Diceros bicornis minor: one gene and its partners. The protein of the gene in region 1 purifies or fractionates together with the protein of each later gene. This does not show direct contact. Links are inferred from orthologs where the notes say so. Each region holds a gene or a part of one and is shown in the gene's direction. Other genes may lie near its edges. The genes, in order: KRR1, GNL2, NOC4L and LARP7.

Region 1 (7,141 bases):
AGTCTCTTCCTAGATTCCCAGATTTCCTAGACTTTCATGCAGAACACTTCATTTTTATTGACATTATTTTTCTAAAGATAGGTTAATAACATGATTAGTTTACAGCTAGGCTGCTTTACTGTGCTTTTCCCTTCTCAACTGTTACCCCTAGATCCTTTTTAATATGTAATCTTATGGAGTTAGAACAGGCCTTATTTTACAGCCATAGTTGTTATTAGCGTTACTGATGTTGATAGAGATATGTTGATTGAAGATTTCACACCTTGCTGTGAGGTCAATTGGAATAGAAAGTAGCTTATGTATGTTAGAAAATAAAAACGTGTCAATCCTATGTATTTGAGAAAACTTGTCTTGATTGCTTATTTAAAAAAAAATTAGCAGAAGAAAACCCACATAGATTACTGTGCAAAAATCATTTTTATCCCTGTTAAATGAGTGCAGAAATGTTAAACGGAAAATAAATCACACTTATTTGCCCAGTTTTCCTACTCTTTTTAATAAGAGATAAATGCACTCTTCATCCCCCAACATTGTTAAGCCACATTCTGACTTCTCTGCCCACTACCCTCTGGGTTAATTTTGTGGGAATTAAGGTCTCTAATTCCAAAGGAGAGTTGTGAGGCCAACTTGCTTTTCACGGGAAAATGAATAAGCAGGGTAAGAGCTGGTGGAACTCGTCATCTGTAGGAGGATGGCTGCATGTGGGTCTAGATTGTTTATGAGGCCAAGGAAGGGAGAAGTCACAAGCAAAATGGGTCTGCCTGCTGTTGCTGTGACACAGAGAGGACTTTCCCAGCCCAGGTTTGTGACAAGAAACTCCTTAGTTTTTTCTTTCCCTTTTTAGTGTTACTTGTACAATTTCTGAAAATAACCTTGCAGATCTGAGTACATATTTATATTCAGATTTCCAAGGATGTTAAAATAAAATGATGTAAATTGTGATTGATTTACAATTGTATTGTTATTTAAATTGCCATCCTTTGTAACGTCTCTATACTGAGAAGTAACATGGTCAACATTTTGGTGACCATCATTTCATAGACTTCCCTGTGCACACTCAAACAGACAGTGTGATATAAACAGGGTCATGTGCACGCTTGTTTTTATCATGGATACCTATTTTTTTAACTCTTTTTGCCTACTTCATTTTTCTTTTCTAATTGCCTTCATCCCTAAGGTAGCCAGCCTTATAAGCTTGATATGTATCCTTCCAAATCTTTCCCATTGTACAGTCACATGTAAACAAATATATTCATATACATATATAGGCACACATATACACACACATATAATTATTATTATGTCCAGCACATAAAAAAGAACCAAGTATTTAGAACAGTGCCTGAAACATTACAGATGCTCAATAACTATTTATTGCATGAATGAATGGTTTGCTTTATAAAAATGAGATAATTAATATATAATTATTATATAAAAATATAAAAATGAGATATATATATAATTATATATAAAAATGTATAGAATTATTATCCCATCTTTCTGTATCTGGCTTTTATCACTCAATGCTTCTAGTTCATCTCTTCCATATAGATTTAATTAATTCTTATGAATGGCTATGTAATAGCTCACAGTTATGAAGGTAACATCAATTTATTTAACTATATCCCAAATTGATAGTCAAGATGCTTTTACATTTTTGCCACCATAAATAAATAACAGCTAACACTCACTGAGTGAGTACTGTTACCACACAAAGGGCACGATCTGCTCGCCGCAAGACAAAAGCCAATCATCACGAGGCAAGATGGTGGCAGAGAAAGGGCAGTTTATTACAGCTTGCTAGCAAGGGGGAACATGGCCGACTAATGTCTGAAAGAACCATCTCCCAGAACAAAGACTACAGGCCAGTTATATAGAGGGCTGGTCTCCGGGTGGGGGAGGCATCTGATCTCCAGGTGGAGGCATCTGGTCTCTGGGTAGGGACACCCATCTGGTCTCCGGGTGGGGGCAACCATCTGGTTTTAGTTCCTGGCAGTCTTTGTTTTACTGGATATGCATCAGAGACCAGAGCAAAGCCCTCTACCCTGATCTTTCAGTTGTCCTTGATGATGGCTATCAGCATAGACTCTCTGCCCAGGGGTCATCACATTCCTAAGGAACTCAAGAGAACAAAGTTATCAACTTGTAGCAGCTGGGAGGGGCCATAAAATCCGCAGAGTTAGTCAGAGGTCATTCAAAGTTACAATATTGTTTCTTTTCTACAATATGGCTTCCCTTATGTGGATCTTGTGTTGAGCTGGTATCAGTACAACCTGCAAAGTATTTTTTTTTTTAGCATTTTCCATGTATAAAGTCACTGAGGTAAAGTTTATCTCCCCATCGTAGGAAATTGAACAGGGGTGGTAAGAAATTTGCCCAAGGCTATATAGCCACTAAGTGGCAAACCAGTCAGTGTGGCTCCAAAGCACCTTTCACTGAATCACTTCTATACAAGGCAGTAATCAACACAGTTGTACACACATTCTAATGGAATGATGCTTTATTTCTAGTTGACAGTTTCCCAGGAGTGGAATTACTGTGGAAGAATATGTGTATATTTTATATTGATAGATTGTTTGCAAAGAGGCAGTAACAGTTTACATTTCCACCAGCAGTGTATGACAGTGCCCTTTCCTCCAGTAGATTATCATTTAAAAAAATTTTTTTATTATTTCTTTTTTGCCAATCTGGTGGGTGAGAAGTGATATTTCCTTGTTACGTCTATATGCTTTTTTGACCATAGTAAGGTTGAGCAGCATATGTTCATCAACCATTTGGATTTACTCTTACAAATTGCTGTATTAGTCAAGATTCTCCACAAACTTATAGATTAGTAATTATAGATTCCTGGCAAGTCCAAAATCTACAGGGTGGCCCAACAGGCTGGAGACCCAGGGGAGAGCTGATGCTGTAATTCAAGTCCAAAAGCTGTGAGGCTGAAAACCCAGCCTTCCTTCTGACACATTTGCAACAATTAATCCTTTAGTATAGTAGCCTTTCTGGAGGTGCTAATGGTCAGACTGCCTGGACTCGAAGTCTAGCTCACCACTTATAAGCGACTGAGTTCCTTAAAATAAGGATAATACAACCCTGCTTCATAGAGTTTCTGGGAACATTAAAGGAATTGCTTCTCACTTTTTAACTTTCACCTGTTGTTATTTGTTCACTATACGGATCTGTCATTGCTTTTTGAGCAAACTGTAAGACTATAGGAATGGAATCACTGACTGTCGTTTTTAAGACACAGGATAAAAGCAAAGATCTTAACATAATCATGTGTCTTGGGATCTTCTGTTCCCAAGTAACAGTCTGTTTTATACATGTACCTCATATACGGAAATCTAAATTTTTATAGAAGATACATAGGGTGGATTTCAGATAAACGTTCCTCCTTTCACTAACACAAGGAATTCAACCTATCAAAGACTTTCCCTAGTTGTGCTGCAGGAAATTTTAGAAAAGTCAAGCAATAAGACCAATCATCAAAAGAAGTCCTATCTTTACCATGTGTAAGAACTTTTAGATTCCTAGAAGTGTAAACACTTGTAGCAGTGATGAATTTCACACCTTGAAGTCAGCCATATGCAGTGCTGGGGTAGACAGGAGTTTGTCATTTCGGAAAATCTTAGGCTAGGTGAAACACTTCAGGAGTGTCGCTTAATTACTACCTCTCCGGCGGAGACAGCTAAATATCAAGACCCAAGAAAACTACCATCAGAAACAAGGATTTGAAAACTTACCCTCCAAAAAATTATCAATTTTGGAGAGATTTGTTTTAACTTTATTTTGTTCTAAGGATTAGAAATGCAAATAAAGTGCCAGGCACAAACAAATGGTAGTTATTACCGTCACTTCTTGCTGTCGAGAACCATATATTCTCATACTTGTACCTCTTCCCAACTCCTAAGACTTACCTGATGATTATATAAGATATTTATCGAATGAACGAATAAGTGACATTATATCGAATGAACGAATAAGTGACATTAATGACGATAGCATTAGGTGCCCTAACCCTGAAGTCCGACGTCCCGGGTTAGACACTGGGGCCACGAGAAAACTACAAATCCGACAGCCCTCAATGTTCCCACAGTGCGGAACTACAATTCCCAGCATGCAGTCAAACTCCGCAGTTGCAGCGCGGAAAAGAACCCCGGAAACGAACTCTCCGGCTCTCCACGGGCCACGCACGAGAAGCGCTGCACTGAGCAACTCCGCGGGCTCAGGCGTACGCACGAACGGAGACTGCGCACATCTCCTCGTCTGAGTTCTGCGGAACTCATTTTGAGTAGAGGGATTTTTAAGTCCGGTAGGATTTAAGAACCGTGTCACTTCCGGTAACACCGGAAGCAATTTGAAGATGGCGTCCTCCTCACTGAACGGCCCAGCCACGGCGGCTGGGAAAAGTGAGTCTCGAACCCAGAAGCCGAAGCCGGAGAACCGAGGTGGGGGTGTGTGGGAAGCGAAGCCTGGGGTTTGGGTGTGGAGGCGCGATTGTGTCTTTGGCTGGCCGGGGACGCGTACGCCGCCTGAGTCCGCTCTGGGAAGTGGAGGGCCACAGTTGCTGACGGTTGGGGGTGGCGGCCGGGTCTGGCCGGTGTGGTCCGGCCACGTGTTCCTGACTAATTGCTTGTCCTCGGGTGTTCTGTGAACCGGTGAGGACGGGGACCGCGCGCGGGGGCGGCGGCTGGCGTGGCCGAGCTGAGGGACGCGGGAGGAGCTCGGTGTGTCCGGGAGCGCCGGCCCCGAGGGCGTGGGACAGGCGCGGGGATGCGGGGCGGACACGGCCGCGTGGCCTGACCCGGCGTGTCGGTTAGTGGAGGTGTGGAAGCGTTTCCGTTATTCCTGTCCGTCAGACGACACGGCTCCTGCTCCTGAGGCTGCCCCACTTTTAAGTTGACGTGTCGCTGTGGCGTCTGGTTTTGTCTGTTTTCTTCCGAGTGAATGACAGGAAGAGGCTGGAGACAGGGCCCCGGGCCTGAGCAGCCAGTCCTACTGAAGGGTTAAAAGCCTGACCTCGCTCTCTGCAGGCGTTAGGGAGGTGCTGACGGGGCGGCGTCGTTCGTGGTGGAGCGTTCACGGCAGCGCAGTATACGCACCGCGCAGGCGTCAACCCGCACGTGAGCAGGGCCCGCGCCGTCCAGCGGAAGAGAGCGTCCCTGCGCCCGCGAGCCCCGCAGCCTCTCCGTGGGGTTCTCCCCCTCCGGCACGTCAGTCACCCTCTGAATCGTCTTGATCGCTCTCTTCTCCATCATCTTTACTACCTATGCGCAAGATGCTTTAATTTTGCCTGCTTTTGAATTTTATATAAATGAACGAGGACTGTAGGCATTTTTCTGTTTCTTGCTTTTTTTTTTTTTATTGATATTTTAATGGTTTCTAACGTGAAATTTTGGGTTGTACATTTTTGTTTGTCCATCACCCCATATATGACTCCCTTCACCCCTTGTGCCCACCCCCCACCCCCACTTCCCGGGTAACCACAGTCCAGTTTTCTCTGTCCATGTGTTGGTTTATATTCCACATATGAGTGAGATCATACAGTGTTTGTCTTTCTCTTTCTGGCTTATTTCACTTAACATAATACGCTCCAGGCCCATCCATGTTGTTGCAAATGGGACGATTTTATCTTTTTTTATGGCTGAGTAGTATTCCATTGTATATATATACCACATTTTCTTAATCCAATCGTCAGTCGAGGGACACTTAGGTTGCTTCTACTTCTTGGCTATGGTGAATAATGCTGCAATGAACATAGGGGTGCATAAGCCTCTTTGGATTGTTGATTTCAGGTGCGTTGGATAGATTCCCAGTAGTGGGATGGCTGGATCATAGGGCATCTCTATTTTTAATTCTTTGAGGAATCTCCATACCGTTTTCCATAGAGGCTGCACCAATTTGCATTCCCACCAGCTGTGTATGAGGGTTCCTGTTTCTCCACATCCTTTCCAACATTTGTTGTTTTTTGTCTTGGTGATTATAGCCATTCTAACGGGCGTGAGGTGGTATCTTAGTGTTGTTTTGATTTGCATTTCCCTGATGATTAGTGATGTTGAGCATCTTTTCATGTGCCTATTGGCCATCTGTATATCTTCCTTGGAGAAGTGTCCATTTCCTCTGCCCATTTTTTGATCGGGTTGTTTGTTTTTTTGTTGTTCAATTGTGTGAGTTCTTTATATATTATGGAGATCAACCCCTTGTCAGATGTATGTTTTGCAAATATTCTCTCCCAGCTGGTTGGTTGTTTGTTCATCTTGATTCTGGTTTCATTTGTCTTATAAAAGCTCTTTAGTCTGATAAAGTCCCACTTGTTTATTTTTTCTTTAGTTTCCCTAGTCTGGGTAGGCATGTCATCCGAAAAGATTCCTTTAAACCCAATGTCAAATAGTGTGTTGCCTATATTTTCTTCTATGAGTTTTATAGTTTCAGGTCTCACCTTCAGGTCTTTGATCCATTTTGAGTTAATTTTTGTGAATGGCAATAGCACATGGTCCACTTTCATTCTTTTGCATGTGGCTGTCCAGTTTTCCCAACACCATTTATTGAAGAGACTTTCCTTTCTCCATTGCATGTCCTTAGCACCTTTGTCGAAAATTAGCTGTCCGTATATGTGCGGTTTTATTTCTGGGCTTTCAATTCTGTTCCATTGATCTGTGTGTCTGTTTTTGTACCAGTACCATGCTGTTTTGATTACTATTGCTTTGTAGTATGTTTTGAAGTCAGGAATTGTGATGCCTCCTGCTTTGTTCTTTTTCTTTAGGATTTCTTTAGCTATTCGGGGTCTTTTGTTGCCCCATATAAATTTTAGTATTCTTTTTTCTATTTCTGTGAAGAATGTCATTGGGATTCTGATTGGGATTGCATTGAATCTGTAGATTGCTTTAGGTAATATAGACATTTTAACTATGTTTATTCTTCCAATCCACGTGCATGGGATATCTTTCCATTTCTTTATGTCATCGTAGATTTCCCTCAATAATGTCTTGTAGTTCTCATTGTATAGGTCCTTCACCTCCTTGGTAAGATTTATTCCTAGGTATTTTATTCTTTTTGATGCAATTGTAAATGGTATTATCTTTTTGAGCTCTCTTTCTGTTAGTTCATTATTAGCATATAGAAATGCAACTGATTTTTGTAGATT
Region 2 (7,803 bases), on another chromosome or scaffold:
TATCAAGTGTAATAGGAAACACACTGATCCTGGGGAGATGACTTAATATGGGCCCTCCAGCCTTCTTGGAGCTTAAACAATTATCTACGATTTGGAGTTACACTTCAAATTCCCACATCGGTGTGTGTTCTGGATCCATTTCTCAGGATGCAGCCAGCAATCTTGAGTTATCTAAACCAGGCTGAAAATTAGAGGCCGTTAACAGCATCTCATAAAATTGCTTCTCAGATTTTCTTAAGCAGAATTTGCTGAGGACCACAGGGATTCAGTAATAGGAAGGAGCAAAATGCTGCTAGTTATTTTTCCAAAGCTTAATCTAGGGATCTTTTTGAAGAGCTCCTTACCCAGCAATGAGATGAATGCCAAGACCAATACAGACTATGTTTTTCCCACTTAGAAGTGGTGACCAGATACATTATCCATGAAGAAGTTTCTTGGGGTTCCCAGATGTGAGTCTCTTAGCCACTTTTCATAGCTACCCAGCCTACTATCTTGCTATATCCTTGTCCAAAAAATTCCCAGGCATCCTAGACTGAAAACTAGACTGAGGGCAATTTGGCCAATGAAGCTCCAATTTAATACATCTTATTTTCTTATATTCCCCTGTAAACTTTTGAGGTTGTATGACCAAGGACTCTCTCTTTTTGTTTTCTACAAACAAAATTAAAAAACAAAACCCTGAAAACATATTCTGAGTACTTCTCTGTTCTCCTAGGATCCCAGAGCCTCTGCTTGGGGGCTAGTAACTGTTTCACATTGAGCAACAGCCACTCCAGGGGCCCAACTCTTGGCCCCAGCAGGCAGGGGTCAATGCATTGTGAATTTGCCAGAGGATAGACACAGGAGACTGAATAGAGAAGCCTCTGCTCTCTCAGTTCAACAGGGAAGGATAAATCAACAAGCTGGCACTAATTAAGAGCTAATGGCCTTACAATGGAGTGTTGCCAAAGGATAACGACCCTCCGGCTGCAGCATAAATATCAAGGCATTTGGGGTAGAGCCAAGACATATATTTTCAGAGTGCATAAGACGCTGCTGCAGCCTTCCTCACCCTGGCTCTGCTGAGAAAAAAGAGAGGATTTAAGACAGGTGGAGAAGGAGCTAGGTCTTATTAGGGCTGCCTTCTGGTCAGCTGGTCAGAAAGCCTGAGGATGACTTTTGGGAAAGACTTTGCTTTTCAGAAGATCTCAAACTTTTGTGTATACAAGAATCACTTGAGGAGCCGGTTAGAATGTATATTCTTTGGGCCCCACCTCCGGAAGGTCTGATTTAGGTAACTCTGGGGTGAAGCCCAAGAGCCTGCATTTTTAACCAATTCCCCCAACTGATTCTGATGCTGGGGGTCCTCAGAGCACACTTTGAAAACTGCTACTTTAGAAGCTGCTTCTACTTGCCCATTAGATCCCAATGAAGAAGTTTTTACAGAATGAAGCGAAGTCAAGATTCTCTTCTCCCTGTGAAAACACCAGTCCATTCTTTCCTTTTAGAACTTGGCACAAGGCTGTTTCAGAAAGGTGGCATTTTGAAGCCGACCCGGTGGCATAGCGGTTAAGTTCACACGTTCTGCTTCGGCGGCCTGGGGTTTGCCAGTTCGGATCCTGTGCGCAGACCTACTCACCGCTCCTCAAGCCATGCTGAGGCGGCGTCCCACATAGAAGAGCTACAACTCTTCAACTATGATACACAACTATGTACTGGGGCTTTGGGCAGAAAAAAGAAAAAGAGAAAGATTGGCAACAGATGTTAGCGTAGGGCCAATCTTCCTCAAAAAAAAGAAAGAAAGAAACGTGGCATTTCGAGCCAATTCCTGTTGGGGTCTTCCCATTCACACAAACCTGTGGTTACGAGGAGCAAGGTTCCAGGGAATGAGGAGCTAACCATAAGTCTGGAGGAAAACAGAAAGCATCCCATCTACATGGGGTGTACCATTTCTGCTATGCTTTCTTACAGCATAATTCATATGATCACGCTGCAATCTTTCAGCGTAGTTAAATTAATATATCTCTTCTAAAGCTGAGGAATCATAGGCCTGGAGGTGTGTCTTGCTTCCTCTGGTCACCACATCAGGAAGGAGAGTGAAAAATCTATTACAGGGCTGGCCCCGTGGCTTAGTGGTTAAGTGCGCGCGCTCCGCTGCTGGTGGCCCGGGTTTGGATCCCGGGCGCGCACACATGCACCGCTTCTCCGGCCATGCTGAGGCCACGTCCCACATGCAGCAACTGGAAGGATGTGCAGCTGTGACACACAACTATCTACTGGGGCTTTGGGGGAAATAGATAAATTTTAAAAAAAATTTTAAAAAAAACCTATTACAATTATGGTCAGCAGGGCAAGCAAACCAAATCAGTAACTTGAGTTTGACCTACCTTGATCAGGCTTATTATCAGCTGGTAGAACTGAGGTTGGTTGTCGGGATCAGCCATACTGTTGTAAAAGGATTGATGGGATTGATGGCTCAGATTATAAAAATAGACGGAAAGTTCATATGATAAACGCAAGCTGAGTATGAGAACAGGAGAGAAACAACGCACCATATCATCTGGGAAAATGAAACTCCTTGGCAAGACTTCACAACAGCCTGATTCAAAATTTCATAATGAAATTATGTCTCTGATCAAAGCCTGAATGAGCTCATGGGCTGATTTTTGCCATTCGTGTTTATTCTGGTTTGAACCAAACTGAGGCATCAGAAACACATTATCTTAGTTTTTTCTCCGGGAGTGGGCCATTGCATCCTCCTTTGGGGGACCAAAGGGACAGTGTGAGGCAGAAGGGGGCATCTTTGGATCCTCAGTGGGCATGAAGTTGTTTCTGACCAGCTTTCAGAGACTCCCTCAGACACCGTGTTAGGTTCAGAGCCTTTCTAGCAAAATCGTGTTAAATTTCACGATACTTGCCCTTGGGGCAATAAAAGTCAATCTCAAGGGAGAGAAGGTATTTCCCCCTGTTGTCTAGGACATGGCCTGCTTTTGCTCTAGAAAGAATGTTTTTCGGTTTGTTTGTTTCAGACTCAGAAAAATAAAGACTCAGTCATCCCCCCACAATTAGAGTTCCTCACTTTATACTAAGTTGTTTGTTTTTACGGAATGGGCTACACCACAGGCTGGAATCCACCTTCTTCCTGCCTAACCACCTCTTCTCTGGACTTAGGCACAGTGATGGGCATTTCCTGACAACTTGAGGTGCCAAAAAAACAGAGAGGGCTTCTTGGTTGAAACACTGGCATCTAGAGAGTTTATTTTGACTAACAGAAACAGAAATTTCTGGGTCTTACACCCTTGTTTCCCCCTCAAGGCAAGAAGCATTCCCATCTGCTATTGATTACATGTTTGTGTTCCCCTAAAATTCATATGTTGAAGCTTTACTCCCAATGTGATAATATTTGGAGATGGGGCCTTTGAGAGGTAATGAGGTTTACATGAGGTCATGAGGGTGGGGCCCCCAGCATGGGATTAGTGACTTTATAAGAAGAGGAAGAGACCAGAGTCCTCCTTCCTCTCTCTGACATATGAGGACACAGTGAGAAGACGGCTGTCTGCAAGGCAAGAAGAGAGTTCTCACGAGGAACCCAACTGTGTGGGCACCCTGACCTCGGACTTCCCAGCCTCCAGAACTGTGAGAAATAAATCTTTGTTATTTAAGCCACCCAGTCTACGGTATTTTGTTATAGCAGGCAGAGCTGAGACACCATCTATTCATCATTCATTCAATGAATATTTATTGAGTCCTTACTATCTATGTGTCAAGTGCTGTTCTAAGTCTTGAAGATACAGCAGTGAACAAACTTACAAGGTCCCTGCTCTCAAAAAGCTTATATTCCAGTTTTGGGGAAGCAGCTGATGAACTCGTAAATAACAAATTTCAGCTAGTGATAAATGCCATGAAGTAAATAAAACAGAATAATGTAACAGCATAACTGCAGAAGGATGGGAGATGGCTGATTTAGACAGATTAGACAAGAAAGACTTCTCCCAGTAGGCAGAGTTGCCAGATAAAATATAGGATGCCCAGTTAAATTTCAATTTCAGATAAACAATGAATAATTTTTAGTATAACTATGTCCCAAGCAACATTTGGGACATACTTATACTCAAAAAAATTTCATTGTTTATCTGAAATTCAAATTTACCTGGGAGTCCTGTATTTTTGCTAAATCTTGCAACCCTACCAGTAGGTGACATCTGAACTGAGAACTGAACCACCAGAAGGAAGTAGCTATGCCAAGAATCAGGGAAAGAGTGATTCAGGCAGAGGGAACATCCAGTGTAAATCTCGGAATAACCAGAGGGAGGGAGGTACAAATGAAGTCAGATAAATAGCACGGGCCAGATCATGCAGAATTCTGTAGGGATGGCAAGGAGTTTGAGTTTCTTTCTCTCTGTCTCTGTCTCTCTTTTACTCTGAGTGATGATAAATTATTGGAGTTTTAATAAGGGTGCCAAGATCTGATTGATTTGGCTGCTGTGTGGTCAGCCACTTTTGGAAAGACTTAGAGGATAAATTCATTAGATAATTAAACTTAAGCTTGTGCCATTGGCCTGGGAAGAGGTTTCTGTGTTTGGGGCGGACCGAAGTAGGAGCTCTGTGCCGAGCGTCCAGGGTGACTAGGCGGTTGCTATGGAGGGGCAGCGTGGCGGTTGCTAGGGAGAGAGGAGGGCGGGGGCTCGACGCAGGGCGACGTCTAAGCGGCCGGGGCGGGGGCGGAGCCAGGAGTGCGGCGGCGCGCGGCGCGCGTTCGCAGGAAGTCGCGCGGGGGCAGGAGGGGGCGCGAGCGGAAGTGACGTAGCACTTGCACACGTGGTCCAGCGTGCTTCACGCCGGTCGCTGTGGCTGGGCCTGGGGCGTTACGAGGTTTTTTTACCTTTTTTACCGTACGTAGGTCGGACCTAGCACTCGGGTCCCCGTCGCGGCGGCAAGATGGTGAAGCCCAAGTACAAAGGACGGAGCACCATCAACCCGTCGAAGGCCAGCACAAACCCCGGTACAGGCGGCGGGGCTCGCGGAGGGTGGAGCTTGGAGGAAGCTTGCGGGGAGGGCTCCGAGGAGACCGAGGGGGAGGAGGGACACCCGGGTGGCATGGCTTGGAGTGACCTCAAGCAGAGTGGCTGTTGGGGATGGGAAGGGAGAAGATGGTTTCTTCATTCGGAGGCACTGAGGAGGGCCGACATCTTGCACGCCTGTCAGGGCTGGGTGCCAGGCACCGAGTCTGAAGTCGGAGAGAGGGAACGCTCAGGCCTGGCAGCCTTGGGGCGTCTCCACTTGTGAGATGCAGAGACTGGGAAGCTCTGAGTTGGAAGGGGCAGTTAAACTTGACCTCTTCTTTTGTTCCTGTGTGGGTCGTGTTGAAGCCCCTCCCCCAATATATGTCAGTCTCGTATGATTCCAGCTCTCCAGCTCAAGGCTTGCTAGAAGTGAATTAGATCAAGTTGGATTAAAAGTGGTGTAGGCCGACGCAGCTGGCTTTTTACACTTGACCACACTTGCTGCCACCTTAGCTTTGACAATTTAAGTGAGAAAGGGATTGTTAATTTGGCTCTTGGAGTCATCCCATCGGGTCAAGTGTGTGGAAAACCCTACAGATAAATAAATAAGATCATTTCACTGAAGATGTTTTTGGAGATGTTTATGAGTTTTGTTGAGGTTCCACCTACAGGTTGAACAAGGTGGCCTTTGGGGGAGTCCCTTCCATTTGGGTTTAGTTAATAAAATTTTGTTTTTAAATATGGTTTCAATTTTTTATGGCTTTAATTCATGTTGAGTGTTTTCCCTGGATTGCTGATAAATTACTCAATTTGTGTAGACTGGAATCTTAGAATGTTAGACCCGAAAAGGTCCTTAGAGATCTTGATGTCAAAGGTGAAGAGACTAAGCCAAAATAGGGGAAGTGGCTTGTCACAGTTGGCATGGTTAGTCAGTAATAGAGCCATCAGTCCGGTGATCGCAGCCTCTTTTCTATGACATCACTGTAAGAGTAGACAGGTGGTTTGAAGGGATCCCCACATGAGGCTGGTTTTACGACACTTGTCCTTCTCTTTCTCTCTGAGATGTAAGACAAGAATTACTACCTATTTTGCTGTTGATTAAACTAAAATCAAACATTCGGAAATTAAGAAACTAGTACATTAGAAACACTTAGGTATCAAGATTGTAGTCTCCAGGGTGCCTTGCATGTAGCAGGCACTCAAAATTTGTTAAAGTGAGATCCAGAGGTGGATGTCTTTGTGGTTCAGAGCACAGGTGGTGATCAAATGCTGTTGTTCACATTCTGGCTTGCCATTTGTGACTTTGGGCAAGATGTCTGGCCACTATGCCTCAGTTTCTTAGCCTGCAGAATGGGGATAATGTATCCCTCTTTATAGGATTATTGTATGGATTACATGGGATGAGACCTATAATGTGGATAGCACAGTGCTGTAGTTAGTGCTCAAAAATATTAGCTCTTATCATTATCAAACACAGTCTTATTGAGGATCAAAGGTTAGATCAGCTTTGTCATACCATGTAGCTTCCAGTAATAATTTTTTTGGAGCAACATATGGAGGAAGTAGAGATTTTGCAGTGAGGTGGCGGCTTGCTTACTTTGAGTGAACTAGTTGGTGTGTTTGAAGCAACGACCGTACTTAGACTTGTTGGTTATCAAATGGTGTGCAATCTACTTCTGGGTTCCCTAGATCGAGTACAGGGAGCAGGAGGCCAAAACATGAGGGACCGGGCCACCATCCGGCGCCTGAATATGTACAGGCAGAAGGAGCGCAGGTGAGTACTGGGTGCTGGCATCCTCCCCCCTCTGCTTCAAGCCCTTGACTGAATAGCTGAGGCCTATTAAACCTATGATATTCCCACTCCCACTTTCCCCAAATACGAGTAGTGTATTTTCAAGTATCATTTTATATGGGTGTTATTATGATAAATTGTGAATTCTTGGTTAAAGACATGAGTAGTGGGTGGAGAAATTGTGATTGTGTCACAATACAGCAATTAGAGGTCTTGTTCCTTACAGCCTCAGCCTCCACGAATGGCATATTAAATCTCAAGTTAGGTATCCGTCAGATGGAAATCTGGTTTTCTTTAGTGAAGCATATAGGACTGTAGTCATGAAAGCAGCGAGAGAACTTGTTTTTTAATGCCAGACTTTAGATCACAACATTGTGGCACTTGGAAACTCACCACCAATCTGCGTTCTGCTGAGGCAGCCTCTACCACGGGGACTTGCTGAGTGTGGCATTTTTCTAGCTGGTCTTAATTTGTTTGGTAATTAGATTCTCCATCCGTTCTAAAAGATGTGTCTAAAACACAAATGTCAATGAACTTAATCTGCCTTAGTCACCTGCTCTGCAGTTTGTTTCAGAATTTTGAGTTCCAGCACAAATCACCCTCTACTTAAAATTCATTTAAACCAGCCTTCAAATAATTACCCAAAAAACTCACGTATGTGATTTTTTTTTAAAGCTAACAAACAGTAAACAGATTTTTAAACATCAGCTTTATTTGTTATTCATCCAGCAGAAATCGTTACGTGCTCTGTTGCAAGAGGTTAAATGGCTTTTGGGCAATCTGTTTCAAATGTAGAAGTACTTTTTGTTTACTGAAATCTGTATTTCATGATCCTTTAAAACCAAAAAAAGGAAAAAAAAATCCTTTTGATGGAAAGGGTATTCTGTAAACCAGACTTTGCTGTTGTTGCCTTTCTTCTGTCGTCAACCAAAATCTGTCATTTCCTCCATTTAGGAACAGTCGTGGTAAAGTGATTAAGCCTCTGCAATATCAATCAACAGTGGCTTCTGGCACAGTGGCGAGAGTGGA
Region 3 (6,935 bases), on another chromosome or scaffold:
GACCAGGCCCACTCTCCAAGGACTCACAGCTGTATCTTCCCCTGCTCGAACTGCTTCAAGATCGTCTTCCTCTGGCCAGGCCCATAGCGGGAAGAGAACTCAGCCACGGTCACCCCACCGAAAGCCTGGACTAGCAGGAAGAGCCTGGGGGGAGACGCCAGAGCCAAGTGGGCCGGGGCCAGGACCGCCACTGCCTCTGCCTCAATGCCCCCTGCCCCGCCCCGGCCTGCCCGGCCTCACCTGTGGGAGTTCTCTCGGGAGTTGGTGAAGCAGAGGACTCTTGAGAAGCTCGTCTCCAGGAGGAGGTGCAGGACGGCCATTGGCTTGGAGCGGAGGCTGCAGGGCACGTAGTGGTGCTGTGGGGATGGCACGGGGTTGGCGGGCCCTTGAGCACCGGGGCGTGCCCCCTCCCTGTACCCGTGTGCCCCGCTTACCGTGAGCCCTGCAGGGAAGGTATACTTCCCACCCGAGTCCCCGTCCACCTCCGTGTCAGCATCTCTGGAACCCCCCTGTGCCAGCCCCGTGGAGAAGAGCCGGGGTTGGTGGAGGCCGAGCCGCTGCAGCTTCTCTGGGTTCTGGGTCAGAGTGGCCGAGAAAAGGAGCTTCTGTAGCGGCATCTGGGGCCAGCAGGTACTGAAAGAGGAGTGGGTGCTGGGAGAGCAGTTGAGGCCCGACCAGCCTGCCCTACCTAAGTCCCGGGAGGGTTTTCCTCAAGGCTGGGCGCCCCAGATCAGACCAGACCAGACCAGGAGGAGTGGGTCTCAGAGACTGGAGAGACCAAGGAAGGGAGCCCTGAGGGCAGAGCAAGCTTGGTGCCGGGTACCTGGCAGCAGTCACGGTCTGGGGCTGCCTTCTCTGGACCAGAGCAAAGGGGTCCTTGGCGCCCTCGCTCGGGAAGGCTGCTGCCACCACCCGTGGCAGCCAGGACTGGTGCATGCTGTCTATCATCCTGTCAGCTTCATCGATGACCTGCGGGAGACGGGAGGCCAGGGATCTGGTGGCTGAGGTCAGCCTCAGCTCAGGACTGCGCCTCCCTCAGGGCTGGCAACCTACCAGGAAGCGGAGGTGCTGGAGGCTGAATCCTGGGGTCTGGTCGATGTGGTCCACCAAGCGGCCAGGGGTGGCCACCACGATGTCAGCCATGCAGCGGAAGCCGTCCACTCTGTGGAGCAGAGAGCTGCCTAGCGGGGGCCCCCACACTGAGCCCCCCAGCGTGGGGAACCTGCGATGGCAGCGCGCTCTGCTCCCCCGGGGACCAGGTGGCTACAATGCAGCTGCCGCCTGCTCCTGCTGCACAAGCTAAGCCCACGGCCCAGCAGGACCTACGTCTTCTGGACAAGGCTTTCCTGCTCCTTGGCTAGTGACTTCTGCCCGGTGACCAGGGCGACCCGCAGAGAAGTGGCATCTGTGTAGATGTTGAACACCTTGCTGACCTGGAGGAGGAGCAGCCGTCACTGCACTGGCTTGAGGCCCCACACCACAGTGACAGGGACTCAGAGTCTGACTTCCAGGTGTGGGGTCCACCTACCTGCTGGGCCAGCTCCTTGGTGGGCAACACAACCAGGGCTCGGACCTGGCACACGGCTCGATGCAGCAGGGCCTGCAGAGGGAGAGATAGCCAGCTGCGTCAGCAGGGCCAGCTCCCTGCTGGTCAGGACCACTTGGAGGGTGGGAGGGTCCTTACACTCACCTGCACCACGGGGATGACGAAGGCCAGGGTCTTCCCACTGCCCGTCGGGGCAGAAACACAAAGATCGCTGGGTCGGTAGCCAGCTCTGCCCACCAGAAACCCATTGGCCGCGCTCTCCAGGAGAGCAGGGATCACTGCCGCCTGGACTGGACAAGGGAGAGCAAAAGGCAAGTCGTGTTTGTGCAGGGACACCCAGAACAAACACAGGTTTCACGGCTAGAAGCAGCCTTCCCCCATCTGTGATCTCTGGGCGGCGCTGCTCTCACTCCAGGGCGGCATCAGAGCCTCAAGGAGTGTCAGGCTCCGGTGGCCGAAGATGCCGAGACCAAGACCACACTTGATGGTGGGGGCATGCAGGGGCTGTTGGCCCTGGCAGCTGCTAAGCTATGGCCTTGTGTGACTCTGAGTGACGATGCTCTATGAGGAAGTCCCCTGTCCCAGGGCTGGGGCACCTGGAAAGTAGGATGAGATGCCATGTGCCCGCAACTTCTTCTGCAGGTCAGGGTGGACCTCAGGAATATCCTCGATAGGCACCAGGTCTTTGGTGACGTTCTTTCCAACACAACTTGGCTCAGCCAGCCACGCTGGCAGGAAAGGCTGGACCTATCACAAAGGGTGAGAAAGAGGCCAGGTGAATACTCGCTAAGCCTGCCTGGCTGGGGGAGCAAGGCTGCAGAAACCAAGGACTCAAGACACTAGGGCTGAGGGGCTGCAGGAAAGAGGCCCCAACGAACCATCTAACTAGTCTCCCAGCTCTTCCTTGATCCCTCACTACCCACTTTCCACGCAGACTTTACAGTAATTAAGAGACACCAGAAGGTGCCAGTCTCCGGAAAACGCTCCCTGGGGGTGTCCCCTCTCACCCACAACAACATCCAGCCTCTGAGTCGCAAGGCAAGGCCCCCTGTGAACTGGCACTCACCTGCCCCTGACCTCCTTTCCTATCACTGGACGTCCCCTAGCTATACATACCTCTGTTCTTACACAGTAAGCTCATTGTTGCCCGAGGGCCTTTGCCCCAACCCTGCCCTCTGCGTGGCACAAACCTCCCACCCCCATCTTAACCAGACTGATTCCTGTCTTCTGATCACAATTCGAAGTGGACCTCCACACGTGCCCTGATATGACGGTGCCCCTGCGCACCCTGCCAAACCTCTCTTCCTCACGGTAATCGTCGTCCTCCAAGAACTCTTGGTTCACCGACTTGTTTACTGAAAACCTCCCTCACTAAAACAGAGACCTGGCCAGTCCAGCAACCTAGTGGAATCTTCTGTTTTGTTCCCTAGGTTCGTGAGAGCACAGCAGAAGTTCAAGGGTGTACCCCAAACGACCAAAGCTGTTTACAAAGACCTCTTTGACAGCAGCACAGAAACCAACTTGATAATGTTGATTTAGACAATAAAAAAATAATACTTTTACAACTAAAACTAAACATACTGAGTTGGTGCAGAATTCAAACCATCAAAATAAACACGGCAGAATAAACAGCCGACGTGCCGCGCGTTAACCTGTGAAGTTACTCAAGGAACACTGACGGCCGCCAGGCGCAGGCACCACCCTCCGAGCGACCCCACACACAGGCGTGCATTAGCCACAGCGGCCCGCGCCCCTGCAGCCTCCCGCCCCCGCGCCGCTCACCTTGGGCGCCCTGCTCCTCTCGAAGCCCCCGAGCAGCAGGGCGTGGGCCGGGGGCCCAGAGGCCTCCGCGGGGGGCCGTCCGTCCTGGTCCTCCGGCGGCCCCGCGGCCTCGGCGCCCTCGCCGCTGTCCCCCGGCGCCTCCTCGCCGCTCCCTGCGCGGCAGAAGCGGGGCGGGCGGCGCGTCAGCCCCACGCGGACCCGGCTCCAGGGCCGCGCCGCGCCCGCCCCGCCGGGCCCACCTGCGCTCGCGGCCGCGCCGTCCGCTCTCCGCCGCTTGCTCCCCGGCGCCCCGCCGCCCTCGCGCCTCCGCGGTCTGCGCGGTCGCCGCCGCCGCTTCCCCGCCGCCCCCGCGGGCTGCGCGGCCTCCGCGGGCTCCTGCTGCCGCTGCCGCTCCCGGGCCCGGCACTGCAGCCGCTCCAGCAGCGCGCGCGCCCGGCCGTCCGCCCCGGCCTCCGCCCCGGCCGCCTCGGGGCCCGCGTACCGCGCGACGTGGAAGAGCGCCATGCCGGCCGCACGCCGCCCCGGCCCCGCGCGGCGCGATGACGCGGAGGCGCCGGGCGGTGACGTCAGAGGCGCGCCGGGCGGCGGCGCGGCGGCCCCGTGTCTTCCGCGTGGGGCGGCGGCATGGCGCGGGACCCCGGCCCCGCGGGCGCGCGCCGGGCGCTGGGCCGCCTGCTGGAGGCGGTGCTGGCGAGCCGCGGCGAGGCCAACGCCGTGTTCGACATCCTGGCCGTGCTGCAGGTGGGACCGCGGGGGCGGCGGGGTCGCGGCCGCGGTCCCGGGGCCGGAGGCCAGACCGGGGCCCCCCTCCGGCTCGGGTGCGGGCAGACAGTCGCAGAGCGGCTTCGGACTCTGCCTGGGGCCTTGCCCAGTCTCGCAGGCCTCCCTGATTGGAGGGTCCAGCGGGAGGGTTGGCAGAGGCGGGGTCGGGGTCACGCCAGGGTCACGGGTGAGGTGCGGTGGGGCTGGAGTCCGGCGGGGACAGGGGCAGGGGCCACGGTTCCCGGCGGGGCACCCTGCGACCGGCCTCTCCCCGCAGTCCGAGGACCAGGAGGAGATCCAGGAAGCCGTGCGCGCGTGCAGCCGCCTCTTCGGGGCCTTGCTGGAGCGGGGAGAGCTGTTTGTGGGCCAGCTGCCCCCTGAGGAGACGGTCATGGCAGGTGAGCGTCCGGAGGGCCCTGGGCCTCCTGTCACGAGGTTGGAGGGAACCTTGCCAGCATGAGGTGAGCCCCCCAAACCCCATCATCACAGAGCGTCCAGGTTGGTGAGAGGACACCCCAAGCCCGCGGGAAGTGGGAGCGGGTGATTCTGCTGGGGGTGGGTGGGTGGTGAAGGTTGGTGACTTTATAACTAAGCTTAGAGAAGGTTGAGCAAGGCGTGATTCTTTGTGTGTGTTTTGTGCCGTTTGTGGGATTTGATGCTGTTTAACATGAGTTGTGATCCTGTGTAAAGTTGGGGCTACATGTTGTGGTTCTTGGGCGTCCAGATCTTGGGGTAAAATGAGGAGGTGGGGACCCGGCCCTTGTAGGAGTGGCTCTCCCTGGTTGGGGGAATGGGTCTCGGTGGTCTGTCTGCACTCACTTCCCTGGTTGGGTAGAGGAGCGGACAGCGGGAGGGTGGGGCTGGGCCCAGCCTGGTGTGTGTGGGCATCCCTGTGGGCTGACCACCCTGCCCCTCCTGCAGGGTCTCAGGGGGCCACGCGGAAGTACAAGGTGTGGATGAGGCACCGTTACCACAGCTGCTGCAACCGCCTGGGGGAGCTCCTGGCCCACCCTTCCTTTCAGGTCAAGGTGAGTCTTGGGGTCGCTGGCCTTGCCCGTCCTTGTGCGTCCTCCGCACCCCCAGCCCCCAGACTCTCCGCACACGGCAGCAACCGGGGGCTGTGGCTGCAGGCACGAGTCTTCCCCCGTTTACCTGTCTGGGCAGGGAAGCTTTTTTCTTCTTTTTCTTGATTAGGATTTTGGTGGGTGGTGTTGTCGTGTTTCCTGAGTCTTACAGGGGTGACGTCTCATGGGCATTTAGGCCTGAATGCCGGGGGCAGCTCTGTGGGCTTTCTGCAGCGGAGATGACGTGTGGTTGGGGTCACCGCAGCCACTTCACCACCCGCTCTTCCCAGGAGCTGGCTCTCGGAACGCTCATGAAGTTTGTGCAGCTGGAAGGAGCACACCCCCTGGAGAAGCCCAAGTGGGAAGGGAACTATCTGTTCCCCCGCCAGCTCTTCAAGGTGAGGGGGTGCTGGGCTCCCCACAGGCCTTAGCTGCTAGAGCTGGAATGGGTCTCTGGCACAGGTGGCTGTTGTACGTGGTGCTTCCTCCCCTGTGGGAGGCAGGGAGGCTACCGCCTCAGGGGTCTCCTGGGGCAGTCCACTGGTTGTGGGGTTCAGCAGGGACCCTGGCAGCCCGCCTGGACTCTGCTCGGTGAGTCCCATCCCTGGGCTGCCCCATCCTGAGGGGTGGGAGAGGCTCACCTCCCGGTCTTGCACCCAGTTGGTGGTGGAAGGCCTGCTTTCACCCGAGGAGGACCGCTCGCTGCTCCTCTCCCAGTTCCAGGAGTATCTGGAACACGACGACATCCGCTACCACACGATGCAGGCGGCCTCAGACACCGTGGCCCAGGTCGCCACTGGGCACCCTGAGGTGAGCTGGCTGGGTCCCATCTCTGGGTGTGGGCAGTGGACGGTGGGTGTGCGGCGTCTAGGTGTTCACACCGCACCTCCGGCAGGTGCCCCTTGTTTTCTGGAACAATGCCTTCACGCTGCTGTCTGCCGTGAGCCTGCCCCGCCAGGAGAGTGACATTTCCAACTTCTACGTGGGGCACACGGGTGAGCACTTGGGGCAGGTGGGCCAGCAGGGGCGCCTGAGCCTCACACACTGGCACCCTGACGAGCCCCTGCTCCCGTCCTGTGTGTCAAATGACCTCTCACCTTCCTTGCAGAGCTGTCGGACAAGTGGAAGGTCGTTCATCTGAAGGTGAGATGCTCTGGAGGGCGGGGGCCTCCCTGGGAACAGGCCGATTCTGGGGTGCCATCAACCCCCCGGACGTAGGCAGCCTGTGTGGGACACGAGGAGTGGGGCAGCTGCTTTCTTCCCAGTTTAGATACCCACCAGGGCCACTCGTGAGGCCCCAAGGGGAGGAGGAGGCCAGCAGGCACCCTGTTCCCAGAGGTCAGAGGTGGCCCGCCCGGACCCCTCAGGAGGGGTCGGTGCTCAGTGTCAGTGCCCAGGTGGCTGTGAATGCAGCGCCTGCCTACTCTTCTGTGGCTGCGAGAGATGCAGAGGAGCTGGCCGGGATGCCTCAGGTTCCGGCTATTTCTACCCACACATGGCAGGAGGGGGGTGGGGCAGTGTCTGGAACAGGGGGGTGGGGACACGTGGTGTTCCCCATCTCGGGGTGGTGGCTAGAGTGGGGGTTGGGGCAGCGTGTGCAGCCTCCATCCCCCTCCCCACAGGAGCACAGGAGAGCCTTCCAGCTGATGTGGCTCGGTTTCCTCAAACACGAGGTAGGCCTGGGACAGGGCCCCGTGTGGTTGTGGGGGTGGGTGTCGGCTGCAACCTGACCCGCCCCGCCCCTCCCAGCTGCCCCTCAGCCTCTGCAAGAAGGTGCTGGT
Region 4 (7,986 bases), on another chromosome or scaffold:
GAGAAGAGGCATGCCAGTTTTTCAAGAGAAAGAAATTATTTCCTGATCCCAAGCTTCCAAAGAATTTGTGCCAAAAGACTTTGTATAACAAAAGCAAATAGTAGGCAAGAGATACGGTTGCCAGATAAAATACAGGGCAATATTTGAGACAGATATACTTAAACTAAAAATTATTCACTGTTTATCTGAAACTCAAATTTAACTGAGTGTCCTACTTTTAGGTTTCAGGTGTTTTTTTTATTTTGTTTTGTTCTGTTTTGTTTTTGGCTAAATCTGGCAACCCTAGCAAGACATTTATGAAATGCGGAAAGAAGGAAGGAAGGAAGAAAAGAGGAAATAAGCAAAAACTGGAAAGACTTACAATAAATTCTCGGCTCTCCATTGTTTCTTCTGAACTTATAAACCAGTCAGGTCCAGAAAATAATCAGTAGTTATTCAACTATTTATGCTACCTAAAATGAAAAATGACAAGGACTATTCAACCCCTACGAAAAGAATAAATATCAAATACAATTTTTCCCCACAAACTTTTTTTTTTCCGTAAGGAAGAGTCGCCCTAAGCTAACATCTATTGCCAATCTTCCTCTTTTCACGTGAGGAAGATGCACCCTGAACTAACATCTATGCCAGTCCTCCTCTATTTTGTATGTGGGTAGCTGCCACAGAATGGCCGCTGACAAGCGGTATAGGTCCGCACCCAGGAACCAAACCCGGACCACTGAAGAGAGTGGCACTGAACTTAACCACTAGGACACGGGGCCAGCCCCCCCCAACAAACTCTTGACCAGAGAGAGGAATCTAAGAGTTCCAAGTTCCATGTAACCAAGGGAAACAGAGGTATAATGAAATTATCTGCCCCCGAGGACATATGAAAAGAGTGACACCACACTGTGGAAAAAGAATTTGCTAGGTAGAGAAAACCAAGTAAAATATACAAAATAATTAGCACTCGCAAGCATTTTTCCAAGTGCCATAATATATATCAGAAAATATGATTCCCCCTCCCCTCCATGTTTGGTTCCTTATAGAAAGAGCTTCAATTTTTAAAGTTTTTTGAATTGCTATGGCCACCACAAGATGGCCCCCTTGCGTTTTAAATTTTTCCTTTTACATCTTAGAGTCAATATACCACAGTATCTAGGACCAAATATACATTATAATACTTCCGCAAGGAAAAATCTCTTCAACATCGTTGCCATGAGTACTGTAGTTATCCTATGCCATTGGATAAAATTGTTATTGTGGGGGCCGCCACCGTGGCTTAGCGGTTAAGAGTGTGCTCTGCTACTGGCGGCCCAGGTTCGGATCCCCGGCGGGCACCAACGCACTGCTTCTCCGGCCATGCTGAGGCCGCATCCCACATACAGCAACTAGAAGGATGTGCAACTATGACATACAACTACCTACTGGGGCTTTGGGGAATAAAAAAAAAGGAGGAGGATTGGCAATAGATGTTAACTCAGAGCCGGTCTTCCTCAGCAAAAAGAGGAGGATTAGCATGGATGTTAGCTCAGGGCTGATCTTCCTCACACACACAAAAAAAATTGTTATTGTGGGCAATTTTGGAAATCTAAAATCACTGATGGTGACTTGAAGAAGTAAACAGAAATACCAAAGGAAATTATTACTTTATCCCTAAAGAAGTGGTTCCAAAGGTATGATCCCTGCACCAACAGCATCAGCATCACCTGGGAACTAGTTAGAAATTCAAATTCTTGGGTCCCACCCCTGACCTATTAAATCAGGGCTAGTAGTCTGTTTTAACAAGCCTTGTAGGTGACAGGGATACACGCTCGAGTTTGAGAAGATGGCCCTAAAAGACCTGGGGGATTCAATAAAGCTATAATTTGCAGTTCTGGATTCAATTTCTCCTTGATACATATAAAATATATAAAATAGGCTACCTACATATTATATATAAATTACAAATATTTATTTAGTACTTACTATGTGCCAGACATTGTGCTAGGCTGAAATACTAAAATGAACGAAATATTATCCCTAATCTCAAGGAATTTTCAGTATAGCAGGGTGATAAACAGTAATTACAATAAAATATGACAGGAATAAGCACAGGAGGGGCACCCAACTCGGTCTAGGGCATTCCTGAAGGATGTAATGTTTGAGCTGGACACTGAAATAACCATTAACCAAGGGAAGATGCCAGGGAATTATTTCCAAATATGAGTCAATATGTACAAAGGCCTGTGGAAGACAGAGCAAGGCGTGATCAAGAAACTCTCAGTAGTACGGCTAAGAGGTTGAGTGTAACGTAGTGAGACAGGAGACTGAAAAAGTGAGCAATAACAGGATTCAGAGGGCCTTCTATGTTAGGCTGAGTTGTCTGGACTTTCTACAAAGACAGTAGGAAGCCACGGCAAGATGTTAAGAATGAGATTACATTATCTGACTTGGGGTTTTACAAAGATTGCTCCAGCTGCTGTGTGGAGAAAGGATGGGGTAAGAAGTAGGCAAATGAGATATGAATTAATGCCCCACAACATAGTTCACAGGACAGGACCCAGACCTACAGAGGCACTGCCTTTCAGAAATATAACTCCCATATCCTATATCCCTCCCCTCCAGCCCACAGAAATTGTCAGACGCCTAATGAATGCCAAGAAGATAACAGAGAGGTCCAGAGAAACACACCATTCACTGCTGCTTTTAAAGCAACTTGCTCCCAGCCACTGAACGGGTTGGACATCCTATGTATGTAGATGAGACTACATGGTGTAGACACAGTGCTGGGCATGTGGCAGTTATTAATCTTAGATCCCTTTAACAATAGCTATCATTTATTCTGTGCAATTATATGCTAGACAGTGTTAAAATGCTGCAAACGCTCACAACCTTATGGTATAGATACTATTTTTCATATTCATTTTACAAAGAAGAAAACTAAGGCACGTAATAGGTAAGTAAGTTGCCCAAGATCATAAAGTAAACAAATGGAAGATTCAGAATTCAAAACTAAGCAGCCTAAACTCTGATGCTCATACTCACAAATAGTACATTATACGACAATTTATTGAGTACCTACTATGTCAGGCAGGAATTGGGACTAGATACTTCACATATAATATTCATCAGTCTCATAATCCTGAAGAGTAGATATTATCACCACAATTTACAGATTAGGAATCCAGTATTTATTAGTTTAGAATTACTTATATGCTACTTAGGAATTGCAAAATAAATTCCCCATTGTTTTCCTAAATTAGAGATATTACTTGTGGGATTTACTTAAAAGGAACTGAGAAGGTCCAAACTCTCATAAATGGTAAATTAGATTATAGGATTAAACCTCAAAAAAAAAAAAAAAGGTTAGCTGGATTTAGAAGAGCCCTAATTTCCACTTTCAAAGGAAAGTCAACACTCCTTTCTTACAACTAAACAGGAAAAATGGTTTTAGCCAACAGCATCATATATTTAAGTGAGGTGCAAGGATAAAACATTTTCTGAAAGTCTTCATCTGTCCACATCTGTCAAACAATTCAAGTACTGACCCATCTCTGCAGGGTGAGTTTAGTGCCCAAAGAAGTTTTTAAAGTGGTGTGGAGATGCTCTGTGGCAATGATATAAGTACAGACATACATAAATGCCTACACACACATATATACACATACATTATTATGCTGCTTTATACATTTATATATAAAATTCGGTGCTTTCACTAAACTAGGAGCCATTCTTCCTGTTACGTATGACGAGATGTTTTTGGTCCTTTTGTTTTGGAACAAGCAGGATCTCTCGAATCCCAAAATGGTTCACAGATTTAAAAGCTGCAGAGGCACGGACCCAACACCGTGTTAGAAAACCATTCAGTCCAAATAACCAAAGAAGAAGCCCACACTTCATCTGCCAAGATTCTAACTACCAGGATCCTGTGTAACCAAATGACAGTGAAGACTTGACCCTTTGTCAGTCCTGAAAACAAGGAGCAAAACCCTCTCTGGTCCTCACCCGTACGCGGGAACGGCAGAGCAGGGGCTGGGAAGAGCCGTGAGGACGCGGAACCAGCTATGACAGGGAGTCCGACCAAGCCGTGACTGTCACCACCCAATCCTGGCTCCACACAGCACCCTCCGGTCCGCTTCCGGCCGAGCAGATTCTCTGGTCCCCTCGCCCCAAATCAGCTTCGCCGCCTGTCGCTCAAATCCCGGCGCCTACCCACCCTCACGCCCCGGAAACCCCGGGAATCAGTTCACTTCACCGTCCATTGCACGAAATCCACTTTCGAATTTTTCCCGCGAAAGGCTGTGACGTCATTAGCCCGGGACCGCACCAGACCAGGACCCCATACTTAGCCCGCCCACCAGAGCCCTCGTCAGAACCGCCGTTCTCAAACCGCCAATCAAATTCTTCCCTAGCTGCGAGCCTCCTTGGGCGGGCGCGTTCTGCGATGCCCCGCCCCCCGAGGCAGCCCACGCCTGTGACGTAAGAGACGGCGCGCCGCCCCTGGGCCCGTCTTCTGCGACGGGAAGCGGAGAACGGTGTCGCTCCTCTTATGACGCAGAGACGACCAGGACCGTAAGGATCGGGAGACGGAAAGAGCTCAAGGACGCAGTCTCTGGCCCTGTATTTTGGGGGCTGAACGGAGTAAGTTCAAGTGGGCCATAGGGTTGCCCAGGTCGGGTGAGGTCTAAATTCCCCTCAGTCCTTTTTCATGCAGTCCATTCTATCCTCTGTAGGCCCTCTCACCCCGCCCCCTCCAACTCACCCGTCAGTTGGCGTGCCCTGGTTCTCTGTGCGCACGCGCAGAAGGCCTCTGGCAGCCCTTGTAGTTCCAGTTGTCAGCGATTGGGGGCGCGCGTTGTCCGGCGCTGGAAGTTTGGGGTCCGCCCCGCCCTGGCGGCGTCCGTGCGGAGGGACGGGTGCTGAGAGGGGCAGAAGTCAAAATGGAAGTAGCCTTGCTTCGCAGCTTTGCCGCTTGGTGGCCAAAGAATAGCGAATGTGAGGACTTGTGTTTTAAAATGAAATCATTTCCTTCTTCAGGACTCTAGTGTTTGTCAGCAAAGAGTTGAAAGTCCAGTTGTGGAAGGGAGCTAACAAATAAGTGCTAAATACGGTGTACGGAGTGCGTCAATAGCCGTGCTTCAGGGAAGCGGATGAGGAGGCGGTTAATCGGGGGAGATGCGGTGGAAGGCTCCGGAGAGGAAGAGGCCGTGAGCCGGGGCCTTGAGATTGAGTGGGGTTTATAAGGCAAGGCAGACAGGAGTCGTTCAGAGCAAACGCACAGAGGGGCGAAAGCGTTCGGGTACCTTTGCATAGGTGGCTGTGACTGGAGCAGTGGTTCTTAACCTTCTTGGCACACCATTTCTTTTAAAAACGTGATAAAAGCTGTGGCTGAGCCTCCCCGGAAAATGCTGGTACATGTCAAAACATTTTGCATATAATTTTGTTAGGAAAAATTGTGAAAGACTTTGAAATGGCCAAGAAAAAAAACTACTGGGTGTCTTGGGTAGCTCCCTCTTCCAGGTTATCTCTGCCTGTCGTTGTCATTGAGTTATTTCACAATTGTGTCAGTTGTAGCCAACGATAATAATGGAAATTAGTCTTGCAGTTATTTTTGCCATTGTTGCCCTGACCGGTTGTGCGTTTATTAACAAATTCATTTCGCCGTTCCTGATAGCTTATATTTGTGTGTCTGGTTTTTTAATTCTCCTGTGAACTGATTTTTAACACTTAGCTAGTTCCCTAATGAATTACTTAAATAAGATTTTTGACATGTATTCATTTTATATTTATACAATAGTCGTGATTTTACTTTTCCTTTAAAATTTATCTTTTAACAATTTCATGGGATTCACAAGAATTCTTGAAACCCACCCAAAATTCCATGGACTTCAGGTTAAGAATTCCTGAGTCAGAACATAGAATGCGTGGTGACAGTTTGCAAGAGGTTCTACCGAAAGGTAGGCAACGTGGGAGTCACACATACCTGAGCTTCCTTACCCAGCCAGCTTTGCTCAAGTCACTTAACCTTTGACCCTCTATAAAAAGAAGTTGGAAGAAACAACCTAGTGGGCTTGTGAGGATTTCAAGCAAGGTATATAAAGTGACTGACATTGTTACACAGTAACTTGTTTTCTGTGTTTAAAAGCTCTGTTTAGAAGCTAGTTAGACTTCACTGGTTCATTTAACAGTTTTTTAAAAATACATATTATGTTACAAGAAGGGGCTGGGAATGTTTAGTGTTGAAAGTTTTGACATCACAGTCGCAAAATTAAATCTGTCTTGTAGACAAGTTGCACAGCTTTTGTGAAGGATGGAGGACTTCTAGAATAGTTTATAAACTGTTCTAAACTGACTGGTAAATGATAAAATGATAATAATGGTTACATAAATATTTTTTAAGATTGCAAATTGCTGATATGTGTTATGCACACTAGGTAAGAGTTTCTGAAGTTACTTCCCCAAGCCACAAAAATAATCCCTAGGAGAAGGAATGAAGGAGAATCTCTGGACTGAGATATGAGAATCCTGGGAGTAGTCTGGTTTCTAGGAGAACTGTGCTGTTCTGTGCTTATGCAGGTCTGTCCGCTACTTCTTTAGGTGGTATTTTCTGACAAGGAAAAGAATTGGAGAGCTGGTAGTCTGCCGTTTATAATCTGGTGTTTTCAGAAGGGAAAGTTAGCAGTGGACCCTGCTGTAGTGATAATCGTAGGCCACATTTGTATTTTGTTTATAATTCTACCCTCTTACAAAAGAACTTGAAATGCTTAACACTTTATAGTTTATAAGATCCTTTTAAATACATTATTTATTTAATTCACCAAATGCCTGGGTCGTGACAAGCTAAAGTTCCTGTCCTCATAGTGTTTACTTTCTAGTGAAGTAGACAGACAGTAAAACTGTAATTCTGGGTAATGATGAGAGAATACAAGGATAGAAAGTGGTGACTGGAGGAGTGGGTAGGGGTAAGGTTGGCAGGGAGGAAATATTTTAGGTTGGGTAGAAAAGAAAGGCTCGTAGAGAAAATGACATTTTCAAAGACCTGAATGAACAAGAACATAATCCCTATAGATGCTGCAGGAAAGGTAAAGACAGTGGCGAGAGCAAAGGCCTGGAGATGGGAAGGCCTTAGCGTGTTTTAAGGAACAGAAAGATGGGGCGTTGTAGTTGGAGTGCTCGTGCCGGAAAGAATTTTAAGAGATGAAGTTAGGGAGATATCCCGAGGCCAGATTGAATAGGGCCTAGTAGCCCACAGTAAGAATTTTATTCTGAGGGTGCTAAGAAACCTTTGAAGGATTTTGTGCAAGAGATTGCCATGTTCTGATTTACATATTTAAATTATTATTCTGGCTGCTATCTGGAGAAATGATAATGGAACAAGAGTATAAACTAGTATACATGAGGATGCTCTTGCAGTAGTTCGGGCAAGACACAGAGCTCGGACCAGGTGGTTGTGATGGAAGAAATGAGAAGTATTCCTATTCAAGATATGTTGTATAAAGTCAGAGCTCATAGAAATGCTAATGAATTGGCTGTAGGGTGTGAGGAAAAGAAGAATTAAGGAGGATTTCAAGGTTTTTGCCCTCTCGGCAATTTTTTAATTGGTATTTTCGCAGATCAGGAAAACTAGGCAAAAAAAGGTCTGTTAAAATTTGAGAGTTTAATGTTTGCCATTTTAAACTTGAGATTTACTTTAGGTGAACAAATGGAGCTGTCAAATGGACAGTCGAATATTGGAATGGGGAGCTACTGAGAGAAGTCGGGGCTGGAGAACGTAGATGGGTGACACATCAGCGTGGAGCCGAGGAGCTGAAAGCCAGGGACCCTCAGCAAGGATGGGTGTGTCGATAAGAAGGGCGCCCAGGGCTGAATGCAATCCTAGGCAGCATGTGAAGGTAGAGCAGAGTAGGAGGGTCCCGAAAAAGAAATTGAGAAGGAGGAAAACTCTCCTGGAAGCCAGGTGAAGAAAAATGTTTTCCAGGAAGGAGTTATCAACTGCAGATGCTGCTGAGAGGTCAAGCAGCTGGG

What was found.
Region 2: the proteins of KRR1 (region 1) and GNL2 purify together in Homo sapiens (affinity purification with mass spectrometry; 3 studies listed by BioGRID and IntAct, with this or other methods). This does not show direct contact. The link is inferred for Diceros bicornis minor from reciprocal best matches to the Homo sapiens genes KRR1 and GNL2.
Region 3: the proteins of KRR1 (region 1) and NOC4L purify together in Homo sapiens (co-immunoprecipitation; 3 studies listed by BioGRID and IntAct, with this or other methods). This does not show direct contact. The link is inferred for Diceros bicornis minor from reciprocal best matches to the Homo sapiens genes KRR1 and NOC4L.
Region 4: the proteins of KRR1 (region 1) and LARP7 purify together in Homo sapiens (affinity purification with mass spectrometry; 4 studies listed by BioGRID and IntAct, with this or other methods). This does not show direct contact. The link is inferred for Diceros bicornis minor from reciprocal best matches to the Homo sapiens genes KRR1 and LARP7.

What each region holds. Positions count from the first base shown.
Region 1 is NC_080764.1:43,844,322-43,851,462, forward strand, and holds the start of KRR1 (KRR1 small subunit processome component homolog), read left to right. Parts: upstream 1-4,127; 5' UTR 4,128-4,360; coding exon 4,361-4,445; intron 4,446-7,141. UniProt on the Homo sapiens protein: Part of the small subunit (SSU) processome, first precursor of the small eukaryotic ribosomal subunit.
Region 2 is NC_080752.1:51,627,560-51,635,362, reverse strand, and holds the start of GNL2 (nucleolar GTP-binding protein 2), read left to right. Parts: upstream 1-4,802; 5' UTR 4,803-4,917; coding exon 4,918-4,981; intron 4,982-6,671; coding exon 6,672-6,756; intron 6,757-7,728; coding exon 7,729-7,803. UniProt on the Homo sapiens protein: GTPase that associates with pre-60S ribosomal subunits in the nucleolus and is required for their nuclear export and maturation.
Region 3 is NC_080774.1:948,559-955,493, reverse strand, and holds the start of NOC4L (nucleolar complex protein 4 homolog), read left to right. Parts: upstream 1-3,924; 5' UTR 3,925-3,952; coding exon 3,953-4,069; intron 4,070-4,367; coding exon 4,368-4,488; intron 4,489-5,011; coding exon 5,012-5,118; intron 5,119-5,444; coding exon 5,445-5,552; intron 5,553-5,814; coding exon 5,815-5,964; intron 5,965-6,049; coding exon 6,050-6,149; intron 6,150-6,262; coding exon 6,263-6,297; intron 6,298-6,776; coding exon 6,777-6,827; intron 6,828-6,903; coding exon 6,904-6,935. Other genes in the region: ATP-dependent RNA helicase DDX51, read right to left, coding at 28-144, 241-356, 435-633, 824-969, 1,054-1,162, 1,327-1,433, 1,529-1,600, 1,691-1,836 and 2 more.
Region 4 is NC_080750.1:7,541,958-7,549,943, forward strand, and holds the start of LARP7 (la-related protein 7), read left to right. Parts: upstream 1-4,971; 5' UTR 4,972-5,366; coding exon 5,367-5,372; intron 5,373-7,986. Other genes in the region: protein ZGRF1, read right to left, coding at 362-382. UniProt on the Homo sapiens protein: RNA-binding protein that specifically binds distinct small nuclear RNA (snRNAs) and regulates their processing and function.